Tamandua tetradactyla: one gene and its partner. The protein of the gene in region 2 binds, or shares a complex with, the protein of the main gene of each other region. Links are inferred from orthologs where the notes say so. Each region holds a gene or a part of one and is shown on either strand. Other genes may lie near its edges.

What was found. Proteins that work in one complex are often made in the same cells at the same time.
Region 1: the proteins of GRB14 (region 2) and INSR are in contact, whole or in part, in a crystal structure (PDB 2AUH), measured with the Homo sapiens proteins. The link is inferred for Tamandua tetradactyla from reciprocal best matches to the Homo sapiens genes GRB14 and INSR. Residues at the interface, in NP_004481.2 of Homo sapiens: Glu373, Asn374, Ser375, Leu376, Val377, Ala378, Met379, Asp380, Phe381, Ser382, Ser386, Val388, Ile389, Glu394, Val398, Ala399, Glu401, Glu402, Gly403, Leu404, Trp406, Arg407; in NP_000199.2 of Homo sapiens: Leu1065, Arg1066, Ile1069, Glu1070, Lys1112, Arg1116, Arg1163, Met1180, Arg1182, Tyr1190, Lys1192, Gly1193, Gly1194, Lys1195, Gly1196, Leu1197, Leu1198, Pro1199, Val1200, Trp1202, Ser1207, Leu1208, Lys1209, Asp1210, Gly1211, Gln1235, Asn1242, Glu1243, Leu1246.

What each region holds. Positions count from the first base shown.
Region 1 is NC_135337.1:83,573,360-83,580,744, reverse strand, and holds the start of INSR (insulin receptor), read left to right. Parts: upstream 1-4,382; 5' UTR 4,383-4,408; coding exon 4,409-4,508; intron 4,509-7,385. UniProt on the Homo sapiens protein: Receptor tyrosine kinase which mediates the pleiotropic actions of insulin.
Region 2 is NC_135329.1:135,773,229-135,780,187, forward strand, and holds the start of GRB14 (growth factor receptor-bound protein 14), read right to left. Parts: upstream 3,005-6,959; 5' UTR 2,897-3,004; coding exon 2,706-2,896; intron 1,413-2,705; coding exon 1,280-1,412; intron 1-1,279. UniProt on the Homo sapiens protein: Adapter protein which modulates coupling of cell surface receptor kinases with specific signaling pathways. Binds to, and suppresses signals from, the activated insulin receptor (INSR). Potent inhibitor of insulin-stimulated MAPK3 phosphorylation.

The DNA.
Region 1 (7,385 bases), on a different chromosome or scaffold from region 2:
ATGTGATTCAATATTAAGGAATCTTTCACTTAAGTGACTTAGATTATCTCACTTTTAAAAAAATGTCTGACTTTATATAGGTTTTTTTTTTTTTTTTTACTATTCACCTAATTTTAATTGTTATATAGCCAAACATATCATTTCAAAATTCTAAATTTGGGATCTGTCTCTTGCTCAGAGAGTAATATTCCCCACTCTGAATATTACAGAATACATTTTCCATATTATAGACTCTTATGGTTTCATAGTTGAGTGGCTTTGGAATTCAACAGATACATTTTTAGTATCTTGGAAATGTTGATGTGGCTCTTTTCCATCATCTATTAATACAGTGAACTCTATGAATAGATTTCCTAATTTTGAATCATCTCTGCAGTCCCGGTCTGAGTTCTCAAATCTGGTATTGGCATTGAGTTCTTTGAAGCTTCTGTCTTGTTCTATTGGTCAATTCTGGGGTATTGCACTGTCGCTTACAAATGAGATCAGATCTTTGTTGTCTTTTCTTTTTCCTCTCCTAAATGTAATGGAGTTAAGCAGGTTTCCATATCAACATAAGGGTGAGTGTTTGCATTTATTTTCCCGCTTTAATGAAAAGGAAAACAGCTCCATTGAGGGAGATGGTGCCAAGGGGTCTTGCTAAAGCAAGACCCCAGCAGTGTGGCAGTAGATTTCCCCAACTACTCCTTGAGGGGCAATATGAGTGCAATATCTGAGCACAAAGTTTGTAGGTGTCAGATCTGGCGCCTTTGTGAAATGGTCTCTCTCTTCTTGGAGCATTCAGAGTACAGTGTGTGGAAGTGCTGAAACTGAAGCAAACCTAACAAAAACAAAGTAAAACAACAACTAAAAAAAACCTCCAACGGTTTCCAAAACTCTTTTCCTTTATTTCAACACAGTCAGACTCCCAGAAAAATTGCAAGAATGGTACACTGAATTCCTGAGTGCTCGCTTTATTAGCTACACCAATTGGATCACCTCTGCTTTGTTTTCTCTCTTTTTCTTTTTCTGAACCATCTGAGTGTCAAGTTTCAGACATTATGTTCCTTCACGTGTGCTACATAGTTCAGCATCTACTTCTATAACTGAGGACATTTTCTTACATCACTTTAGCATAATGAGGAAATTAACATTCAAACAATCCTGTTCACCAATTGGCAGATTTTTTTCAGTCTTCTGCAATTGTCCAAATTATCTTTCACTGCAAAGGAAACCCAGGATCAACTTTGATCACTTGATGAATGTAGCATCTCCTAGGTTTCTCCACTGTGAAGTGACAATTTTCTCCTTCCCTTTGTTATTGACAAGTACCTTGAGAGTGATGTAAACATCCCGTTCCCCTCAAAGTTTTCCTCATTAGTTTCAAGCATCCACTGAGGGGTATTGCATGAATCAATGAATATACACATTGCTAAAGGTGATTTTCTACTTCTACAGCCATGGTTTTAATAAAGGCAGAAGATGGTCTTGAAGTTCCAATTTTTAGATGCTTTCATTTTTGCAAAAGAAACAATGAGTGGTTGGGGGGAGTGATGATGTCTTAATTTTCTCCCAGCAAGTCACAGCTGAAATGATTCTTTTGATTTTATTTCCAGCATGGAAGTCCTGCATCAATCTTTCGGGCTTTTTTAGTACATGCTACCCGGCCAGAATTGTGGCAGTCTTTGGGTTTCCTGTGGGAGCAGATTTGCACAAGGAAAGAAGGGGACTGGTATTGAGGCAGCCTACAATTCTTGATACCTGGTCTGCAGCTGCCTCCTCCATGTTCTCCCTGGGTCCACTCTTGCCCCAGTGAAGACAATGAGATATTATTGGAAAGAAAATTTGATTATGTCAACCTTATGTGTAAAACCGTCCCCAAGGGGGTGAAATGTAACACACTCTTTACATGGCATATATGAAGTTTTGTCCCTTCTAGTACCTGCCTACCATTCCAGCATCTTCTCTTCCCTTTCTGTGCTCCAGCTATAGTGCTTGGCTTATTTGCTAGACTGTCTGCTCTGTCTCCACTGGGCACTTGCACATGCTGTTCCCTGTGCCCAAAACACTTTTCCAGGTAGCAAATGATTGGCTTTTCTCATCACTTTTGGCTGGCTCCTTCTCATCTGCAGATTTCAGCTGAAATATCACTTTCTCATGGAATCTTTCTCTGAGTGAAGACTCCCCACTCCCACGAAAACGCATAATTGTTTAATTAATGCTCTCTTACTAAACTGTGAGGTCTACAAGGAAATGGACTATAATTTTGTTCACTGGCAATCCCGCTTACTTATTATTTGTTGATTCTTCCTTTCAAGAAATATTGATTAGGCGGGCCGCGGTGGCTCAGCGGGCAAAGTGCTTGCCTGCTATGCCGGAGGACCTCGGTTCGATTCCCGGCCCCAGCCCATGTAACAAAAACGGAGAAACAGAATACAATAAAACAAGAAAATGTTTAAAAGATGTTTCCCTTCCTTCCTTCCTTCCTTCCTTCTATCCTTCCCTCCTTCTCTCTGTCTTTCCTTTAAAAAAAAAAAAAAAAAAAAAAAAAAAAAAAAGAAATATTGATTAATCAACAGATATGTCGGGCACTAGGGGTGGAGGTGGCAGTAAAAAAAAAAAAAAAAAATGGCGGGGGGAGAAGATATACCAAACAATAAATAAGAATGCCAGGTAGAGATAACCAGCCATGAAAATAACAGGGGAAGGGAACAGAGAGATGAGGGTGAAGGGAGCATTTGCAGCGCGTAGTCAGGGCATGCTCTCTGGAGCAGAGATGTGGAGCACCTGGGAAAGCGTTATAGAAGAAGCAGCCTGGCAAGGAGATGTGACGTTGGCATTTGGGAATAACTGTGGGCCCAGCCATTGACAAATTAATATTTGTTTAATAAACGACGGGAAGAATGAATGTCCTGGGCCTAGGGTTGGGCTGGGTGCTTCCCCTTGTGTCTCGGCTAACTTGGCATGCAGGTATCCACAAACCCATCATACCAGACCCAGAGATTGTCCCCCGTCCGAGGTCTCCCATTGCATGAAGGGGTGAGCCGGATTCCCAGTCTGCTTGGGCTTTCCTATCTGCAAGCCGACCTCCCTCTCCTTCAGGAGGGTGGGTTGGCCATTGCCTTGTCCCCTCGGTGAAAAACCTTGCGAAACACTCAGATACACATGGACTTCGGGTCTGCATGTTGAAAATTGGGGGTGTCCACCTGCGTCCTTGTCTGGGGCCTTTAGGCACCCGGACTGTTGTGTTAGGAGCCTACACACATTGTCCCAGGTGTCATTTGTCCAACTTGAGTCATAGGTGTCCAACTTGAGCCAGAGGCCGCGCCGAGGCGCAGGGGACACGGAGTACGCGGAGCGCACGGGGCGCGCAGGCACGTGGCCGTCCCCTGGGGCCTGCCGGGGCATCCGCCGCGGGGCAGGGGGGCGCGCGAGGCCTGCAGTCCCGAGCGCCCTACTGCGCAGGTTGCAGGAGCCGGGGGTGGATTTGGGGCACACGAGCGCGCAGGGACAAGCGTCGCGCGGGCGGGCGCAACGAGGGAGGTGCTCGCTTGGGCTGCACAATTTAAGGGAGTGACCAAAACAAAAAACAAAAACGAGTAACAGAGACAAATGGGATTTAATGCACTGCTGAAAAAACCAAAAAAAAAAAAAAAAAAAAAATCCACGCTTTTAAAGAAAGACAGCATCCGAGGGGCACCTCCCCCCCGCTCCCCTTCCTGCCCACACTTTGTCCCTGGAATCTCTGGGCCGTGGGGGGCGCCGAGGCTGGAGCAGGGTGCGGGGGGTGGGTCAGGGCGCCCTCTCGGTTGGGGCGCGCCCGGGCCCTGCCGCGCGGGGCCCCGAAGAGGGCGGGCTGCCGGGGGCGGGCCAGGGCGGGGCGGGCCGGGCCCTCCCCCTTCGCGGCCTCCGCCCCCCTCTCCCGGGCGCCCCGTCCCTTCCGCGGCCGGATCCGCGCCGCCTTTTCCCGCGGCCCGCACGGGGCCCAGCTGACGGCCGCGTTGTTTACGGGCCCCGAGCAGCCCTCGCTCCCGCCGTCCGCCAGCCCAGGTGCCCGCCCGCGCGTCCCTCTGTCCGTCCGCGCGTCCGCCGACGGCGGGGCCCAGAACGCTCTTGGCCGAAGGTGCCGCGTGGAAGTCCGCGCCCCGAGAACCCCCCAGCCCCACCCCGAGCGCGGGGCCGGGACCCGAGTGGCCTGGAGGGCGGGGAGCCGGGGCGCCTGGTCTTCGGAGCGGCCGAGGCCCGCGCTCGCCCCTCCCGGGGCGGTTTCCAGGGCCCTCCCGGGGCGGGTGCCGCTGCCCGCGGGCCGCCGGCGTGGGAGAGAAGGACGCGCGGGCCCCGGCGCCTCCCGGGCGGGCCGTCTCGGAGCATGCACCCCGCGGGCCGGCGCCGCGCGCTCTGAACCGCAGCAGGACCCCGCGCTCCCGCGGCGATGGGCGCAGGGGCCGGGCGGGGATCGGCGGGCGCGCCGCTGCTGCTGGCCGTGGCCGCGCTGCTGCTGGGCGCCGCGGGCCACCTGTATCCCGGAGACGGTGAGTCTGGGGGCGCCGGGGCGGGCGGAGGGGCCCTCACCGCCCCCAAAGGAGCCGCCCCCGCGGGGCACCGGGTGTCCCCGGGGGCGGGGGACGCGCGGGTGGCCCGGACGGCCCCGCGGGGGGCTGGAGGCCGCTGACCTTGGCCTTCGCCCGCCTGGGCTCGCGGCCCCGCGCCCCGCTGTTGCGAGCCCTGCTGGGGAGGCACCTTCCCCCAGTGCCCGCCCCGCCGTGGGCGCCTCTCCCCAGCGCACACCTCGGACCCGAGCCTGGCCCCCCTGCTTGCCCAAGGCGCCCGGGAGGCTGGACGCGCCGCGTCTTCGGGTGGCCCCGACCCCTCGGGGTCACAGGGTTTGGGCGGCCTCGGACGGCCGAGTGTTTTGAGTTTGGAGCCAAATCCCGGGGTGCCGGGCCGGGAGGTCCCTTGGGGTCCCCGCTGGTGGGTGTCACTGCCCGAGGCGGGGGTGGGGGAATTAATTGGAGGACTTTCCCTTTCTCACTTCCTAGAGTCTGGGCCGGTGGCTACATTTTACAGGTCCCTAGTTACACTTTTGGGTTCTAGTTACACTCCTTCCAGATGTGAGGAGGCAAATTCTAAGAACCGGCTGCAGTTGCAACAGGAGTAGTGGCAGTTTTTATCAAGATTCTTCTAATTAGTATCACCCTATGCCACGGGCTGGCCCATCTTATCTCTCTGGACCCTCACGGTGGCCCCTGGAGACTGATAACTGTTGTTCTCAGAGTAGGAACCTGGGCTGGGACTCGAACCCCTCTCTGCCAGCTTCCCTCCCAAGGCTGGGGACTCTTTCCCCACCACCCATGTCTCCCCCAACTCCTCCCGCCCCCAGATCTACCCCTCATAAAGGGCTCTCTACCTGCAGTCTTTTTTGGGGGGGAGGGAAATCTCTGGCCTTGGGTGAGCCTCTCACACCCCCCTCCAGGTGTCCCTATGCCTGGAGCAGACAGAAGCAACCCCAGCCCCAGTATCCTTCTCATGCCTGATATTGTCTACTTTTTGAGACTGGGACTGAAGAATCATTTGAGGACATAAATCTAATTTCCCACCATGGGGTCTGAAGCCCTGCTTTAAAAATATCTGAGGTTGCTTCAGATTTTTCCATAAAAGGAAATTGATCATGGATGAAGAAGGGGTCTGGGAGGGAAGGAACAGAAGAATCTCCTAAGTGTACTCGGTGTTGAATGAGGTGGATGAGAAAGCATAGGCTTTGGAGTTGGCCAACCAGGTTTGTTGAGCAGCTCTGCCACTTAATGTCTGGGAGTCCCCAAAGGTCAGGGATGCAGTAGGTGCTCAGTGAAGGGTGGCAGTTGGTTTGAGTTCTTGGTACGAAAAATCCAAGATGAGTTGTTAAACCCATGCCAGGCTTCTCGCGGGCATGCATAATGTGCACAGCCTGCATATGTGTGGTTCCCTACTCTTCTGTTCCTTGCAGTTGTTCTGTGCCTTGGGCTTCCAGGGGTCAGCTGCTTATGTATTTACAGCTTCCATGGGGATCCACTGGGGCAGGGGCTTTTGTCTGTTTCATCTGTGCCCGGCGCGTGGTAGATGTTCAGTAAATATTTATTCCTCAGTGGGACTAGGCACAGTGCGAAGCTCCTTTGTAGTTGGGTTGAGGAGCTCCTTCTCCTCCTGGTTATACTAACTACCAGTTCTAAGAGTAAGCACATGCAAGGCACAGTGCTCCATGCTTTGCATGTATAATCTCAGTCAATTCTCACTGCTGCTGGTGAGGTAAGGTTTTTCATTCCCTTGTGGGGATGATTTGCTGAGAACCACTGAAAAAGCAAGTGGCAGAGCCACGATTAGAACTCAGACTGGTCCGGCCCCAGGGCATGGGTTTCTTAACTAACGGCTGTTCTTTCCTTAACTAGTTCCTGTTGTGGGTCCAAGCCTCCCCCACTTCTGCCCTGGGATAATGTTGAACAAAACATTATTCTTTCAAATAAACGAGAGCTGAACCCCCTTGAAAGCTTGGGTGGGTGAGGGGGGGGGGCAAGAAACTTTCCAGAGCATTAATTTCTAAAGTCGGCCAAGATGACATTTTGACTGGGGTGGGGCAGATCACCCAATCTAATGTGATTTTTAAGGAAGGAAGGACTCTTTCTCAGAGGTGTCAGTGGAACTGCAGCGCCCCAGGTTTTCCGAGGAGTTGTTGCTGCACTGAGCTGGGTGGTGGCTTTTTTTCCGCTATTGCCATTTGGATTGGATGGTTCTAACCAAGATTACTTGCCAGCATTGCAGGAAGAGAATTAAGAATTAAGAAGTCTTAACTAAGAGAATTAAGATTTAAGAGAATTAAGGTGCCATGGTATTGATTAAAGTGAAAACCTTCAGAGCTTTCCATAGTAATCGAGGTGTGAGACGCTTGTTTCTCAGATACTCCTCACTTCTCAGCTACTCTGTAATGAGGGACCGTCATGAGCTGCTTCTCTTGGGTGTTTGGTAGTGAAAGATGTTCCGGGACATCCCCTGCACCCTTGGAGTGGTTATTCCAGATCTTTGCTTCACTCCTGGAGACCTTCCACTGTCTCCTGCCCCACTCACTCATAGAGACCATGGGGACGCTTCCTAAGGTCCCTGTGTTGATTTCCATGTCCTCTTCAGTTGGAGTAGGATTTCTCAGCCTAATATTCTTGACATTTAGGACCAGATAATTCTTAGTCGTGGGGTGGGTGGCAGAGGGGGCTGTCCAGTGCATTGTAGGGTGTGGACCAGCCTCCCTGGCCTCTATCCATTAGATGCCAGCAGCACCAACGCCTATCCCCAGCCTTTACAATAAAAAATGTCTCCAAACATTGCCAGATGTCCTCCCGAGGGGTGGAAGGCAAAATTGTCCCAAGTCAAGAGCCCCCCTGCAT
Region 2 (6,959 bases):
AATCTCCCCCCATCCATCCTCCTATGCAAAGTCTTAGTCCTGCTCATTTCAGGACTTGCCTCCCATGGCAGACCCTGACTGAGAGCACACCTGTTCCTAGAATATTTATTACCACTTTCCCAATCTTATCCAAAACACGCAGACCAATTCGACTACAATCTCCCCTGAAAAGTATATATGCCTTGCCATACTAGACTGACATTCCATGGAAAGCTTCCTATTGCCTCTATCATTGCCAAATGTTATGAAGAATTCATCTTTTCCATGGGGCATTTCTGCCATTCTTAAAAAAATAATCACACATTCTTTAATCCATCTCAGAAAAAGTCGTAAAGTTACAGAAAAAAGAAAGAACAGTAGATGGGGAGAAATGATCAACTATCTTGCTCATCTGTGTTCATTATCCCCTCCTCACTGCAAGTATCTGACTGTTTATTGCTTCAACTCTTGCAAGAATAAAGTGAAGCCTCTCTGTGTTTTACTGGTTTAAAACCAGGGGCAGGTGGCGGGGGGAGGCTGGGGAGTGGGGGTGGGCTATACTGAGAAAAGCTGGATCATTCTAGCATACCCTGATTTTTTTGCTCTCAAAATACATAAACATGATGGATCTCCCCATAGTCGCGTGATCCTCATTTCTTTGAAATCTCTGTTGCTTACGTCAGTCCCAAACTAGAAACTTGAAAAGAAAGTAAATCACAAAAATAAAGTCCATCTTCTAATCATCACTTAGAAGTCATCTGCCTTCTGCAGCCAGACGCCTCCAAATTGAATAATTCACTGAAATAAAGACATGTCCATTCCGAAATTTCAGCTGTCTTTTGTCAGACTCACTATATCATTTTCCTTTAGTAAATAAGGTTGGCTTGGGTTGAGAATATGAAAGATTAAAGAAAGTATTGAAGAATCAACCAATTCCCTTCTCATTCCACTACCAGTGTCCACCCTTCCAATTCCTGACTTAACATTGATAATCTATTAGAACATATAATTCTCCCACCTAACCTGTGAAGAACAGCTCCACGCACCCTACTTAACAGATATTCACTCTTTTAACCCATCTCAAAACTCTAAGAGGTAACTTCTAACATTTCTATCATACAGATAAAAAAACTGAGGCCCGAAAAAGAAAATAATGCCAAAGAACTATATCAGTCAACAGAGAGATTTAACATAAACCATGTTAATTTTTTGTGATTATTTTAAGTTACTGAATATCATGAAAACTGTATGCTCTTTAGAACTCCAAAGATTTTGAATCAGAAAATTTAAAAATGCATACCTGTTTTTTCATTGAATTTGCTTTGTGAAACAGGCCTGCTGATAATACAGACGTAAATGGAGAACAGCACAGCTCAGGAAAAGGGTTTGGAATAGATGGCATTTCCAGAACATCAAGATCTTTCTTTTTTCTCCTACACCAACAGAACATAGGATGTAATTTACATAAAACAGAATGTAAAATATAATTGCTGTCAGGATTAAAAATGTGTTAAGGACAACATGTACAGCTCTATGACAACACCAATATTATGTAAAGTATACAAAAAAGATCCCTGATGTACCTTCTGTGGGTCAAATTAAAATGCCAATTACTACAAAAAAATCATCCACAGCATTCCTAATTTTTCTGTGAGGGATTTAAAAAAAAATCACTAGACATGGAAACCCCATTTCTAGCACTTTTCATAATCTTCCTGAAGTACAAATGTAGAATATACCATTATTAATGCAAAAATTATCCTGAGTAGTTAGAAATTGTTATGCATCCACGAAATTGGCAAAATCAATGTTACATTCAGTTAATTCATACCTGTGATATTTTGCTACACTTTAGGAGGCTATAACTTATTAATTATAGCTGTGGTTCATCTCACTTCAAATTTCATTCACAATGTTGCCCACACACAGTCTGTTGATTTTTCAAGTGCTTATAGATAATAAGCAGCAAGGCAGTGTTTTTGAAGAGGTAAGTCAATAGAACTTGCTAGTATAAATGTACTCTAGTCCACTGGAGAGTAATTTTAACTTCATTGAAGTTGCAGCACTTTCAAATCGGAGGGTAGGGTGGGGGTTGAGGGGGAGGGAATTGCACCATTTAAACGTATGAATAAAAAGGACCATAGAATTTTGGGTTTTTGCAGTCTTTTTCTTTCCTAAAGTAGGTGCAAAACTATGAACTCTAAAGGCACTTAATGCTGACTGCTGTGGAGACTGGGAAACCTTTTAAAGCCTCTATTCTTTCTTCAGGAACAGCAAGCCTGCTCAAATGTCAATTCAGTGCTTTGCTTCTCCTGGGTCGCTGAAAGACTCTATGTGGGAGGTGAACTCATTATGCTACGATTCTTAAATACATATATAAAATTTTAAAAACTGTTTATTAAAAAAAAAAAAACAAAAAACCTAGGGCCACGAAGGAAGGCCGGGGGTGGAGGTCAACCTGGAGCTTGTCCTTCTAGTTGACACGGATGGGCATACACGAAGAGACCAAGAGCTCTCAATGAAACGGTGATGCTATTTATAAGGCGCCGTGAGATCGCAATGTCCTGCCGATCTGGTAGGAGCCAGCTCAAAGGGAATTGTCTTCTGAGACTTTCACAAACTTGGCCCAGCTCTGGGCACATGGCTCACCCTCTAGGACCGCCTCCTCACCCCTTCGCCGGCTGCCAACCCAGGACACTCCCCCGCGCCCTCCGAGGGCTGCCTACCTGTCCATAGCACAGCCACGGGTGGCGTCCGGAGGGGGCAGGAGCGCCCGCGCGTGCACCCAGGGGGCCGGCGCCAGGTCGCGGGCGTCGCCCCTCCCCTGGGCAGTGCCGCACACCTGGGCGGCCAGCGGCGAGTCCCCGGCTGCCGCCCTGCTCGCGGCGCTGTGCCCATCTTGCAGAGAAGTGGTCATTATCGCCGGCCGGGGGGCTCGGGCGTCATGGGAGACCCGGCGCGGGGGGAGAGAGGCTCGGGCGGCGGGAGGCGAGGAGCCGCTCAGGCAGCCGGAGCGCTCTGCAGGTGCGGTGGCCTCGCCGCCTGCGCTCGCGGCCCGGGCGGCTCAGGAGAGCGGCGGAGCAGCCAGCGAGGCGGCGGGGGAGGGGAGGGGGCGGAGGAGGAAGGTGGGGAGAGGGGAGGAGCGGCCGGTGGGTGGGGGCCGCGGCGGCGGGGCGAGGCGCCGAGGGGGCGGGGAGCGCGTGCGGTCGCCTGGTCGGCCCTGCGCGTGGCCCGAGGCGCGCGGCGGCGCTGGTGTGGGTTTCCCCTCGTCCGCTCTCCGGCCTCCAGCTGCCCGCGTCCGAGGCCCGGGCCGCCGCCGCCTCCCTAGGTGGGCGCTCGAGCGCGAGGCTGAGACCCGGTGGGGGCGGGCCCCGCGGCGCTGGAGGCAGGGAGCGGGCTGAGGCGGTGCTCCTGCCGGGCTTGCCTGGCGGACCGCAGGCGGGGCGGGGGTCTCGGCAGCGCAGACCCCCAGGCCCTTCCATTCCTCCTGCTCTCCTATTTGAGATCACCAAGGTGTCTCCGGGCCGCCATGACAGGCCTCACCGGGCCAGGGGGCCAGGTTTGCCCCCGTCCTTCCCCACGTGCCACCTCTTCTATTCGCACCGCGGCCGAAGATGGGGGCTGAGGGTCTGAGAGGAAGCAGGGAGTACATCGTTTTAGAAAACTACCGACAATTTGAAAATTTTGATTAAAGCGTGAGTAAACCTGAAGATGTCTTTGGAATTCGGAAGATTATCCATTTTCTTTTTAGTAAGGACTTTGTCCTTTTACATCCTCACAACGGCCCTCTAAATTTGATGTTTATACCATTTTACTGATAAGGAAACTGAGGCTCAAAGCCATCGAGGACTTTGCGCAACAAAGCTAGTAACTGGTACCGTCAAAATTCCAACCCAGAGACTTCCTTCTCAAAAACCTAGAAATTTGAAATTGTAATAAAATTATCCTCACCCTCTGAGAGACACTGAGTCCTACTCTGAAATCCAGGATAGTTTTGTTTCTCCTCTTCTCACAAGTGCCCCTATCCCAGTGTGTCGAAAGATTTCCAAATGTTTTACACACTCTTTGTTCTTTGACCAAATTAGGTAGCATCTGCCCCTGGCATCTGCTTCACCTCCACAACCTCTGCCCAGGGAAAGGCAAACACTGCCTCCCCAGAAATGTACAACTCCTTACCCCGACCCTATATCCTCCCGCCTTGGAACCTCCCGCCTTGGAACCTCCTGCCTTGGAACCATGAAGTGCTGACAACTAGGGATCACTAACTTCCACCCTGTGAAGAAACCTTGGAGTACTTGATGAGCACAGAAAATCTTTTAAGTCAAAGCATTTAATGAGCCCAAGTCCTTCATTTTCCTGACGGCAAAATTGATGCCCAGAAAAGGTCACATCTGGCCTGGGTAACATGGTAAGTGTGGTCTCCAGGAACTTTACCCAATGCAATGGCGCATCCAAGGCAAAAGAGTGGCAGGATGGCTCACCTAAGTGGTAAAAATAGTCATACTAATGAATGATAGCTAACATCTATTGACACTGGTGCCAGGCAAAGCCCTCACATCCCATCCCCTGAGTTATAGCCTGAATTATATGTGTGAGTTTTAAATGAATTTAATGTAAAAGCACACAGATAAACTGTCATTCCATAAAAATAAAAAGGAGCTACGTATTTGCAGATAACTGGAACTAAAGAAACAACAAAAAAAATAAACTTTATCACTATCATCATCATCATCATCCTTATTTTCATCCAGAAGTCTTCTGTAGGCAGTCATTTCTCCTCTCTAATTAAGATAGTTTTCCCTCCTGCCCCTCAACAACACTTTCGTCTTTCTCTGTCCCTCTCCCTCTCCCTCTCCCTGTCCCTCTTTCTCTCTCTCCCCCCCCCCCTTTCTCTCTCTCTCTCTCTCTCTCTCTCACACACACACACACACAACACAGCAGCTCTTTTTTTTGTTGTTGGAGAGAAGATAGGCAGAAACCCCGTATATCTCTGGAACCTGGAAACACCATGCCCCAATACTGTATCTTGCTCCAGTTTTCAGTATAATTTTTTGCCCCAATAAAAGAATATTCATTGCTAGGAATGAGATCTTAACTGGCCTCCCCTATCCAGGCATTCAAATTACTTCCTCCCAGTTAGGGAAGATCCAGGGAGTAGCCATTTGTAAACTTTATGCTCCTCCTCTAATCCTCACTGGTAAAAATTATAAATCCTGTAGTCAACAGAGGGGGGGCAAAGGAGGGAGGGAAATAGGTCTCTAAGGAACAAGAACATTAATAATTTTGATTTGGAAATTGGCATTAAATATTGAATTTACTCCCAGTAATACCTGGAGGATCTGAACCTAGTATTATTAGAATTAGCTCCTTCACATTTTTGAAGCAAGCCAACAAAATAACTAGTTTTCATATCCAAGAGGTTTTCAAGAAATGATTCTAGATTTTTAAAACTAATGCAGTAATAAAAGGTTCAGAATACTGCCAGAGTTTTCTATCAGAAGGGAAGTTAAAAAGGAGATTTCCCTTTTCATACCTGTCAAGGGTTTCTGAAGCTATGAGAGGGCAGATATCTTGGTAGCAAAGAGCAGATCCTCCTGTGAGTGGCTGCTGTCCTTTTTGAGTTGAGTCTGTGAAATAATAAAGGAAGTAGCTTGTCTCCTGGCCCTTCCCCCACACCATGGGCCTTTTGTGTCTCCTTGCACTCCCTCTTCTATTTCCTCCTCCAGAGATCCCAGCCTCCCCACCCTTCATGGAAAATGGGCTCTCCTTGCTTTCCTCTGCCTTTGCTCATCAAATCAAATTTCTTAATCAAATTTCAGGAAAGATAACACACGTACAGAAAAGCAGTTCACAAAAAAACCGTGAACAACAACTTTATCACAAGGCAAACACTGATGTCAGGTCATGAAGTAGAATATTGTCAGCCCTCCAGAAGCCCCTCCCTTGCTTCACCCCCAAACCAGATGGTCACAATAACTGATTCCTTGTTTTTATTTATAGCGGAACCATCTAAATATCTATGTGGAAATGCAATAGATTAGTTTGTCTCGTTTTGACTTTTATGTAGAGGAACTCTTGATTTGTGCTTGACTTGGTTCCCTTTACATCTTATTTGTAATATTCTTCTGTGCTCTTCCAGGTAGCTGTAGTTCTTTCATTCTTCTGTTGTATGTAAATACCACAGCCTGTCTGTTCTATAATAGGTAAATATCTTGATTGTTTCCCCCTTCTGACTATTATAAGTAATGCTGCAATGAACGTTCTTATACTATAAGTGATGCTGCAATGAGCATTCTTGTGTGCGTCTCTTGGTACACATATGCACATATTTTTGTCAGGTAGATACCTAGAATAGCAGTGTGAGGTCATGGTGTGTGTATGTTCAGCTTTACTAGATTCTGCCAGTTTCCCAAATTGATGGTACCAGTTTTCACTGCCAGCAGCGTTGCCCATGTCCCGCTTCTTCCCATTCTTGTCAGTTGGGATATTATCACAGTTTTCACATTAGACGTTCCGGTGAGGGTACGGTTATGTCTCACTGTGGACGTTGACTTCTGGTAACTAATGAAGCACTTTAATGTGGTTAGTTATCTACCGTTTGGACATCCTCTTTTGAAAGTACCAATTAAAGTCTCTTGCCCATTTTTTGAGAAGTTGTTCTTTTTCTCTCTTATTCATTTACATGAGTTTCTTTTGTATTCTGACACCTAACTCTTCATAGATTTTATATTTTTAAAGTTATCTCCTCCCATTCTGTGGCCTACTCTTTTGATATCGTAATGGTCTCATTTGATAAACAGAAGTTCTTCATTTTAATGTAGCTAAATTTGCCTATTTTTTATGATTATATTTTTTATATCCTGCTTAGAAGTCGTTCCCTATTTTTCCAGAAATCTGTTACTTTGCCTTTCATATTTAAGTCAGTGATCCACTTGGGATTGATTTTGTTTTGTTTGTTTTATACTTATGGTGTGAAATAG